2 linked regions of the Coturnix japonica genome follow. The protein of the gene in region 1 purifies or fractionates together with the protein of each later gene. This does not show direct contact. Links are inferred from orthologs where the notes say so. Each region holds a gene or a part of one and is shown in the gene's direction. Other genes may lie near its edges.

Region 1 (4,377 bases):
GATCTTGTTGAATATTGCTTAGTGTCTGGGGTACTGTATCCCTAGACTTCAACACAAAGAATGAAGGAACTGTTGATTTCTTCTTCCCTGTCCATAAGAGGAAAATTAATAGCAACTGGGTTTGCACACTGGTAAGTCAGGGTGGTTTAAATGCTGCAAACTATTAATCACATTTCAGCTTTGTTGTTACTTTTGAGAAGTATGTTCAGTTTTAATTTAGGACATCAGACTTTAATAATACCCTGGTGTTTATATGGCAGTATGAAGGTGTGGCTGAATGTATAGCCATGCCTATTGTTGAGTAGTTTTCCATAGGACTAGAAGGACAGCGTCTGCCTTTCCTCACTGCCTGGTTGGCTGATCTTTCTGTGCTATCAGCACATCAATTGGGAATTTTTATCCTCAGTGATTCCCTCTGAACTTGGCTCTTTTTCTCTCTCCGTAGGGTGCTTGGTATAAATGAATGGCAGAACACAGGATTTCAGTATGATGTTATCAGCTGTTTGAATTTGCTGGATCGTTGTGATCAGCCACTGACTGTATTAAAAGATATTAGAAGTGTACTGGAGCCAACTAGAGGCAGAGTCATTCTAGCATTAGTTCTGCCATTTCACCCGTACGTGGAAAATGGTAAGTACATGGATCAGTAGCTATTTAGGCAACTAAAAACTTTTGTATGTGGCCCTATTCTGAATTAAATGTTTTTAAAATAATTGACATGTTCTTATTTGACTTAGTTATAACTAATTTGTAGTGTGCTTGTTGAGAAGTATGAAATGATAGGTAAATAGGACACATGAGGTAAGAGCCGTGTTCTTAATTCCCCAGCATACATTGTTGGCACCAACAAAAAGCTCAGATATTGAAGTCACATATCCTGTTCTGCAGGTTGCCACATTTGAGCCGTGTGGAGCAACATGGGAAAACTGTTTTTCTATATGCCATTATACACTGGGGAAGGAGGGGGATTGAGACAGGCAAAGGAAAAAAAAAAGTCTAAAAAGAACATAATTTGAAGAGATGCTTGAAGCATAGTATTTGAGCATGTAGTTCTAAACTATAGTGTGTCTTAAATGAGTTTCACTTATGCATCTGTATGGTATTTTCAAGTATGTTTGGTTGCAGCTATGTTCCTACAGTGTAGGACTGTTTCACTTCTTCTGTTTAGAATCATAGAATCATAGAATTGCTCAGGTTGGGAAAGACCTTAAAGATCATCGAGTCCAACCACAACCTAACCATACTACCCTAACAACCCTCTGCTAAATCATATTCCTGAACAATTTAAAATTATTTTATATTCCAAATAACAGCATTGTCTCACTAGACATCCATGAGTACGTTAGAAGCAGAAACTGAGGAGTGATTTGTATGTTTGTGTTATTTGTGTGCCTTCAAAATGTCATTGTGTTTTGCAATCACTACTGTGCCTAGGACCTACTCTTCTACATGTTGGGTAACGATGCTAGACCACATGTAACTTCCTCACTCACCAGAAGGCTGGTGAATTAAGGAAGAAAAAAATACTTCAAGTCAGTTTATAATCCATCATTAATTGCCTGCAGCAAACTGGGAATAGAACAGGATGTTAAATTTGGAAACCCTGAAGAAGTAGAAACCTGTTCTCTGGTTGCTGATCTTAGAATGGATTTCAACTTTGAACAAGTAAGAACAGCTAAGACAGCCAGTAAACCGAAGTCAAACTTTGGTTTATTCTGGCAACGTGTAGTTGATTAGTCATAAGTCTCAGCCAGTGCAGTGATGATGTTTTGTGGCTGTCTGTCCTGCAACATGTGACGGATTAACTTTAGTGTGCCTTTACCAACTGGAACAGCCAGAAGTGATAAATATCTACTGAAACTTCAAAACACATAAGTAAATGTGTAAATGTCTGTTTACCATTGTTGTGAATATGGGCCTATATAAACTTTTCTGGACAATGCAAGTTACTAAATGCACAAGTTATTGGCATTCCACTAAAGCTTTCCTACTTACGATTTATTCAGCTATAGTCTAAAGAAACAGTGAAGTGCCATTCTGTGTTCATCACATATGAAAGATTTTAAATTTCACTGTTTTCATTCAGTTGTTCTACAAGATGAAGCCTTAAATGTCACACATGCACACAGGCTTCATGATAAGAAGAAAAATTGTATGGAGCTTAGATTGCTCCTTGTATCAGCTAATTTAAAAGATTGAACTTGCTTGGGGAGATTTCTAAAGTGGGGAACAAATGGAGCAGGGGTGAGTCAGGTAAAGATCAGGTTTCAGAGTAGGAGATATGAAACATCTGGATTACTGCACTTGTTTGACAGCAGTTGCAGGAAGTGTCAGTGTGAAGCTTGTTCAGAGAACAAAGCGAGGTGGAGTGGGAGGTAACGTTTCTGTTTCTGGAATTACAGTGACACCTAGAGTCCAAAGTTGCTTAATCATAAATTAAGCTTTTCACAGAAGTTTTGTTTTCAACATGTAGAACAAGTAATGCACTTCCTGCTTATATATGAATTTATTGAGTAAGCTGTATGAATCATTCGGTATCATAAAAAAACTTGCCCTTGTGTGACTAGTCTAACGTGGTAATTTTTCATCTGTGTATCCACTATAACTATCACACTAATATGACTGAAAACTGAATGTCACTGCGTAATGAGTTTATTTTGTTGCAGTTGATTAACGTACATCTCACAAAAATGCACAGTTCACATAAAAGAAATGCATTGAAATTCATGTTAAAATACATAAAATTACACATAAATTGAAAGGGGAAGTTTTAGTGAAGCATTAGCAGTTCTCTTCTAAAAGATGAAGTCTTCTCCCACTGTTCTTGTGGCACTGGCAGTGATGTGTAACAGACGTAACGCTGGTTTTGATGATCTGTTCAGAAAACACTCCTGAAGAACTGCCCTGTTCAGTTTTCTTCTTCGTTTTTAAAGGAAAATAAGTCTGTGAAAAAGCTTAAATTCTTCATCAGCTCCTTTGGTTGCATCAAACATATTGAACAAATTGGAGATGCAGCACATCCTCATCTGTTCTGATAAATTGTGTCATCCTCCAAATGATCCTATGGAAAAATGTACAAGTGTTTATTTGCTGCTGCAGATATTTTTGGCTTTTTTAAAATGCAGAACTTCCTTTTTGAGGTAAATTCCACCCCTTTACTGTTCCAGCAAACTTCTTCCCTCCCCATTTATCAATCTACCTATCTGGCCGTATGTATATATACGTATAAAATGTACAAAAGTTTATGTATGTGTTTATCTACATGAGAAGAACAGACACTTACGGGCTGGTGGCAGTGCTGAGCGTGCTGCTGCTTTTGAAGTTCTTGGGCTATTGCTCGAAAAATTTTTCGTCCGCTACTGATTTTCTGTAAATGATTTAAAACATGTTATGTTGGTGCTACAGCTGAGGTTGGAAGAAGCATCTTTTGCTACGTTTTTATAGTTGTAATTGTTTTCCCCGTGTGTGTCTTTGGGGAAGTTACTAAATAACACTCCAGGAACTTATAATTTGGCAGCTCAAAGTGTTTAAATTAGATGAATACTACATCTCTTAACGTATGTACCTTCTTTAATGGATATTTAAATAGCAAGTACGGATTTTATTACTCTCTAAAGTATAGATAAAGCAGACGGTGATGACGTACACAGTTCTCTGTTCTCTGCCCTTCATTCCCACTTCTATTTAGCAGCTTTTGTTTTAACTGGAAGGAGAGGGAAGAAAAAAATGATTAAAACAAGGGATGATTTAACAACAAAATAGCAGAATAAACTGAATAGATTTGCTTATGTACCACTGAAAAAATGAAGGGTTTTCAAACATACAGGGCCTTTTTTGTTTTCCGGTATTAAATGATGTAAATATTTTTACTTTGAGTGCAACAGAACGTGCCCAAAGCACAACCTGGTTGTCAAAAGTAAGACAGCAGGTTTTCTCTTAGTTAAAAAGGCATGGTTGATTTTTTTCTTCCATGGAAAGTCCATATTTGCATGTCCTGCTGTTATATGCACCAGTTTTTCTAATGTCTGTGTTCACACAGTGGATGAACACGATTTCTTTATGCAAGTAAAGTCAGTTTACTAACCTTTCAGCTCACAAATATTTTGGCATTGAATTTAAATTATTTTACTTCTAATAGAAGCCAATCCAGAGAGTTAATGACTTGCGTTGGTAATTTCTAGCTCTACTTTTTGAGTGTGCATTAATGCAGTCTTCAACCTGCTGATTAATACACTCAGTATAATTTTAGCCTTATATTTAGAAAAAAGGAAATGTGATTGCTATTGCAGACAGATGCATGCAACATATGAGCTTCATTTAACCAACTGCGTTGCTAGAACTTAACTATGGATGTTATGGAACCTGGGAATTCATTCT
Region 2 (5,000 bases), on another chromosome or scaffold:
GTGCCTCACTCTTTGCATATTTGCATTTCCATTGATTTGAAAGGGCTACTAAGCATCTGAGTCCAGGCAAATCCTGGCCTGTGTAAGCCTGGAAACATTATTTAAACTCCTGAATAGGAGCCTGACAAAGTGTAAGTTCTGTGTTCCTCTGTAAACTTGTTTTATCATCATTTTCAGTGCATGGTGAAAACCAGCCCTTCTTCAGGCTCTTCAGTGACCATGGGAGATTATTGCCTTAGGGGAATGGAAACCAAGTAATCTTTCTTCCACATTCTCTTGGAATTTTACCAACCATCAGCACAATGGGGGGTGGGGGGAAGCAAGTCACATCCCATTGTCTGAACAGGACTTGCTGTTCCCTGTTGAACATTTTTTTGTGGGCTTAGGAATTTATCAGATGGAAAGCTGGTTTTTGCCAAAGAAGTTCTGAGCCTATGCACAGTGAAGAAAATTCTATCATTTACGTATCATCCTCCTGGTTCTTAAGCACGTCAGTAATCATTCCTGCCTTTCAGTCTCTGGATGCTTTGCAGTAGCTAAGACTAATTTGGATTACATTTTAGCTTAAAGTATTTTAGCAGAATGGTCTTGCTCTGGATATCTCTAAGTGATACCCTTTCAAGCCCTTTTTAAAGGCATGAAACTTGTGTTGAAATAAGTTCTCTAAAACAGCTCTAGCGCTCAGCTTTTTCTTTTCCTTTTTTTTTTTTTTTTTTTTTGTGGGAGGTTGCTGGTATCTGGTTTTGCTTCTTCAAGGACATGACACGGTGAAACAGAATGAAAACATTTTTTGTTTCCTTTCTGAACTTATATTAACAACCCTCTTTCTTCCGAAAACAGAAGAGAATTTCAGGACCGCATAAATATTATTACTAAGCTTTAAATGCCCTGAAAACAATGTCAGGCTAAAGCAAACAAAGTCCACAGAGGAGAAGCTATGTTTATTCGGATGTTAGCTTCAGCAGCACCGTGGCAGTGTGTCACTGTGTAGGCACCAAATAGGAAACCCTTCTCAAACCATCTCTTCCTGTGTAATGTTGAAGGAGAGCTGTTTTAGAACACATCAGTACCTCAGGGACAGAACACAGAAGTATTCTGTGTCCTCTGCCTCCCCAGGCAGGCAATGTGAAGTGCCATATGACTGCAGTCTCTGGTCAGTCAGTTTGGAGGCCTGTGCTGAGGAGTGCCAGTGAGTTGAGGTGGCAGAGCTTCAGCTTTACATCTGAGCTCCTATCAGCAGTTCTTCTTAAATATATCTGTGTGATTTGTAGCACTAAATAGCAGCGGTCTGTTGTGAACGTTTACCTGTCTAGGGAACATCTCTGTTGAGGATATTATGTTAGCATAAGGAATGATTCTGTTTTGCCTCAGGAGTCCATTGACTTGTGAGATGCATGCTGTTCCGTGCTGTTATGCAGTGTGACTCAAACGGTGTTTCGAAAGAAAGAGACGCACTGCTTTCTATACACCCTGCTCGCTCCTGCAAAAATCAGTTTTCTCTGCATTAAGTTTTGGATTAGACTGAAAACTCTCAGCAATACCCTCTGAAAGAGCAGCCCTCCGCTGCTTCTCTGTTGGCACTATCTGGCTCTTTTGCACTGCACATGCCTCAGTGCTCAACAGCCCCACGTTCTGTGAAGTGATTTGAAGTGTCTTCCTGTGAAAACAGCAGCTCTGGTTTTAGGACGACAGCATTGTGATAATATTGGTTTTACTAGCTCAAAGTTCAATTTCAGTGTAATAATAAATAAAAAAACCCTGCACGTTCAGCTCTTTAAAAAGAAACTGCATAGACAGCAGCTCTTCACATTCAGGGAAGTGATTATAGGCCATGCAAGTGAGGAAGAGGAGAAAGAGGAAAATGACAAGAATCAGACACTGCTGCCCTGCATGATGAATTTGGCACTCGGCACTGTGTAAGTGGATGGATCTGCTCCTTACGGGGAGGGGGCACGTGACTGGCATTTCTTTTTCTGATTCACTGCTTTTTAGAGGTTGCAATAACCAAGGCTGTTTTTACCAATTATCGGTACCTGTGATATCGTTAATGTTGTCTATATTGGTGGGACCAACAAGAATGTGCCTTCATTATAGGTTACGGAGTGTAAATTACATTAAACCAGAAGTTCTCTCAGAATGACAGCAAGGAATTCCAGTCATTCCTATGCTATGAATTTGACATAGTCTGTATGTACTTAATGTTATCCTGGAATTGCATCGTCCAGATTGGTACTTCAAGTCATTTGAGATAAGCTTGTCAGCAGGTTTTAGGATGAGTGTTTCCTAGAATCTGGCCTCTGCTTTATGTGGGAATTTGGCAATGAATTTGGCCCTAACCAGGTACACCTGATTTAGTGGTGGGCAACCCCGACTGCAATAGGTTCTGTGATTCTGTGACCTGTGCAACCCTGAGCAGTCTCTTTTCAAGTAATATTCTGAAATATTCTTAGCTTCCTTGTGAAGTATTATTTAGTACCAACTTTACTTTTAGCTCCTACTTGGTTTTAAGAAACAGTGTCTTGGAGTTTTGTCGTTATGTATTTACTTGCCTAAGGATGCTATGTTGCGCTTCAAAAATTAACTCTCATTTTTTAAGTAAATTGGAAATTGGGTAGATTAAGGGCTTTTAGAACTTAAATTTTATTTGCACTTAGTCTGTCAGATTTGTCTTTCATATATTTTACCTTTAATCAATAGGAAAACGATTCTGAAAATATTACTGAAAACACGCTGTTACAGAGTTTTACAGGCTCTACTTTATAACTGCTCATTGTGAAGAACACCTTATGTCTGCCTACCATTTAGTTTTAAAGATCTTTTCCAAATGCTGTACCAATGCTGTGTGAATTCAGTCTTGTATGCTATTCTTGGGAAATCACACAGTTATTTTATTAGTGGTTCCACGATGGCAAACTTCTTGTGTTTGTAGGAATGAATTTTCAGCTATAAAGGGGAGGGTAAGGTATAAAGGAAGGGAAGGTTATCTGAGAGAGGTAGAAAACATAAATGTTATGAATGGAATCAAGTATTTTCAAGCATAACTTTTTTATTCAGTTTCAGTGTGGTCAAAATTGGCATCAGTCTTGCTTGAGGCTTTTTTGCTTCCCTTGAGTTTGACAGTCCGTTTGTTATCTCTGTAATTAATGCTATTTCAACCCAGCCATTATTGTCTTTCTACGCGATTACTGGCATTCCCACTCATGAGTCTTCTCCGAGCTCTCACGATGCTCTTACACCTGCCAAATGCATCATCTGATATGTCAGCAAAGATGCATGACCGTGCAATGTTCCCTCTTCCACAAGCAGCCTGTCTAGTCCCACGCTCATTTGAGGATGTGGTTTAATCCTCTCTTCCTTTTCTAACAGAAAACGGGATGTATTCATCACCATTACTCTGTTCTGGTGCTATAGCTCAGTCTCAGTGGAGTTCTGTTTTATGTAAGTCATCAAGTCAGGCTGTGAAGTCATACAGCTGAAAAGTGGCAAAGGAGCAGGGCCTTCCCATTGCTCTGCCTCTCTTCCCAGCTTTTATCTGTGTCTATTCACAGGAACATTTTCTCCGTGTAATTTCAGAGGCATTCATCTCAGATTTTCACATTTCTTGTCATTTGAGCCATGTTCTGTGTATGCCAGTGCTGCATCATTGTGTATCTCAACTGAAGTTTACTTTCTTCTCCATAGCTGTTTATGCTTAAATTCACACTCCTACTTGTGTCATTAAAACTGTAGTTATGATCCAACTGTGCAAAGAGTTTTTGGGCAGCAACGTGCAAAATAAAGCTGCAACAGCTTGTAGTGCTGTTAAACGCTTGCAGTGAAAGATTTGGAAATTGAGGTGTTTCTTAATGTGATTCATAATCCACCTCCTAATTTTTAGAAATCAGGGTCTTTAACATGCTTTCTCATTGCAGAATACAAGTGAAACAAATTTTACATTGATGATGAAAAATTCAGGGTGGGAGGAACCAACGCAACAACAACTTCAGCACAAACCAGCATTTCAAAGAGAGGTGGTGTATTTTTAAAGTTGCTGGGACCCTGAAGGCCAGCATCCATCTCCTGCCTTCAGGTACTATATATGCCATTATCAGGCATGGAAGGATCAATGCAGCAAAATGTAAGCTCACTCTTTTATGAGTCAGTTGTGCTCCCTAAACAGAAGGACAGTTAGACAATAATTTTGAGTTGGAGAGTCCTCTTGCTGGTTTTACGTTGTGCTACTGGTATAGTAAACTTAAAAACAAACAGGCATGAGAAATATTCCATTCATAATTTGGTTGCTTCTGCAAACATGATTTTTGGTGGTTTTTTTCCTTTGAGAGTTCATGTTCTTGTCTTCTCTGTGGATGTCCCTTTCAGGCTTGAGTACTATGATAAAGAAGGGATGAGGCATCACAACAGCATTGTCTGCTGTCCATTCAAGCTTACATTATTGAAGTATATCCCTAGTAGATCCTAATAACTCCCCCTCCACTGCTGAAATTGCATAGTCCCTCCTCAGGCATTCAAAACGGGTAGAACAGAAACCTAAGGACAACTTGGCTTTCCAGTTCCACCTGCTGATGTTGGAGGAATTGCATTCACTTAAAATTTGTCATTTCCACTTGTACGTGTGATAGAAGTGCCAGAAACGGGGAAGTTGACGCAAGTTGCTGACTGAAATCTAGCTTTAGAAGAGCTGTGCTTTTATGGCTCATTTAGGTCTTGGTTATAAGTAAATACTGCTAATCATTAAAGCGGAGGTTAAAAATTGGCAGGGATTGACATAAAAGATACTGACTTTCATTTTCTAACTTCAGTCTGTTCATTGATCCTTTCAAATAATGTCAAGGAGAGTACTGTTAGTCTTTTCCATTCTATTTGAGAAGAGGGTGTAAAATGCCTGAACATGTAAAGAGATTACATTAAAGTCAATATTTCCTTTTCAGCAAGGTGGGTCAGATCTGGAATCAATCCAGTTTTCTTTTATAAATATAAGCCTTCAGAGGAATTTTTAGTCC

What was found. The genes of interacting proteins can lie anywhere in the genome.
Region 2: the proteins of METTL9 (region 1) and SLC39A10 purify together in Homo sapiens (co-immunoprecipitation; 3 studies listed by BioGRID and IntAct, with this or other methods). This does not show direct contact. The link is inferred for Coturnix japonica from reciprocal best matches to the Homo sapiens genes METTL9 and SLC39A10.

The regions. Positions count from the first base shown.
Region 1 is NC_029529.1:8,387,006-8,391,382, forward strand, and holds part of METTL9 (methyltransferase-like protein 9), read left to right. Parts: intron 1-445; coding exon 446-630; intron 631-2,634; exon of another isoform or gene 2,635-3,022; coding exon of another isoform or gene 3,023-3,061; intron 3,062-3,283; coding exon of another isoform or gene 3,284-3,367; intron 3,368-3,646; coding exon of another isoform or gene 3,647-3,703; intron 3,704-4,377. Other genes in the region: IGSF6 (immunoglobulin superfamily member 6), read right to left, coding at 3,023-3,061, 3,284-3,367, 3,647-3,703. UniProt on the Homo sapiens protein: Protein-histidine N-methyltransferase that specifically catalyzes 1-methylhistidine (pros-methylhistidine) methylation of target proteins.
Region 2 is NC_029522.1:490,737-495,736, reverse strand, and holds the start of SLC39A10 (zinc transporter ZIP10), read left to right. Parts: upstream 1-1,820; 5' UTR 1,821-1,916; intron 1,917-5,000. UniProt on the Homo sapiens protein: Zinc-influx transporter. When associated with SLC39A6, the heterodimer formed by SLC39A10 and SLC39A6 mediates cellular zinc uptake to trigger cells to undergo epithelial-to-mesenchymal transition (EMT).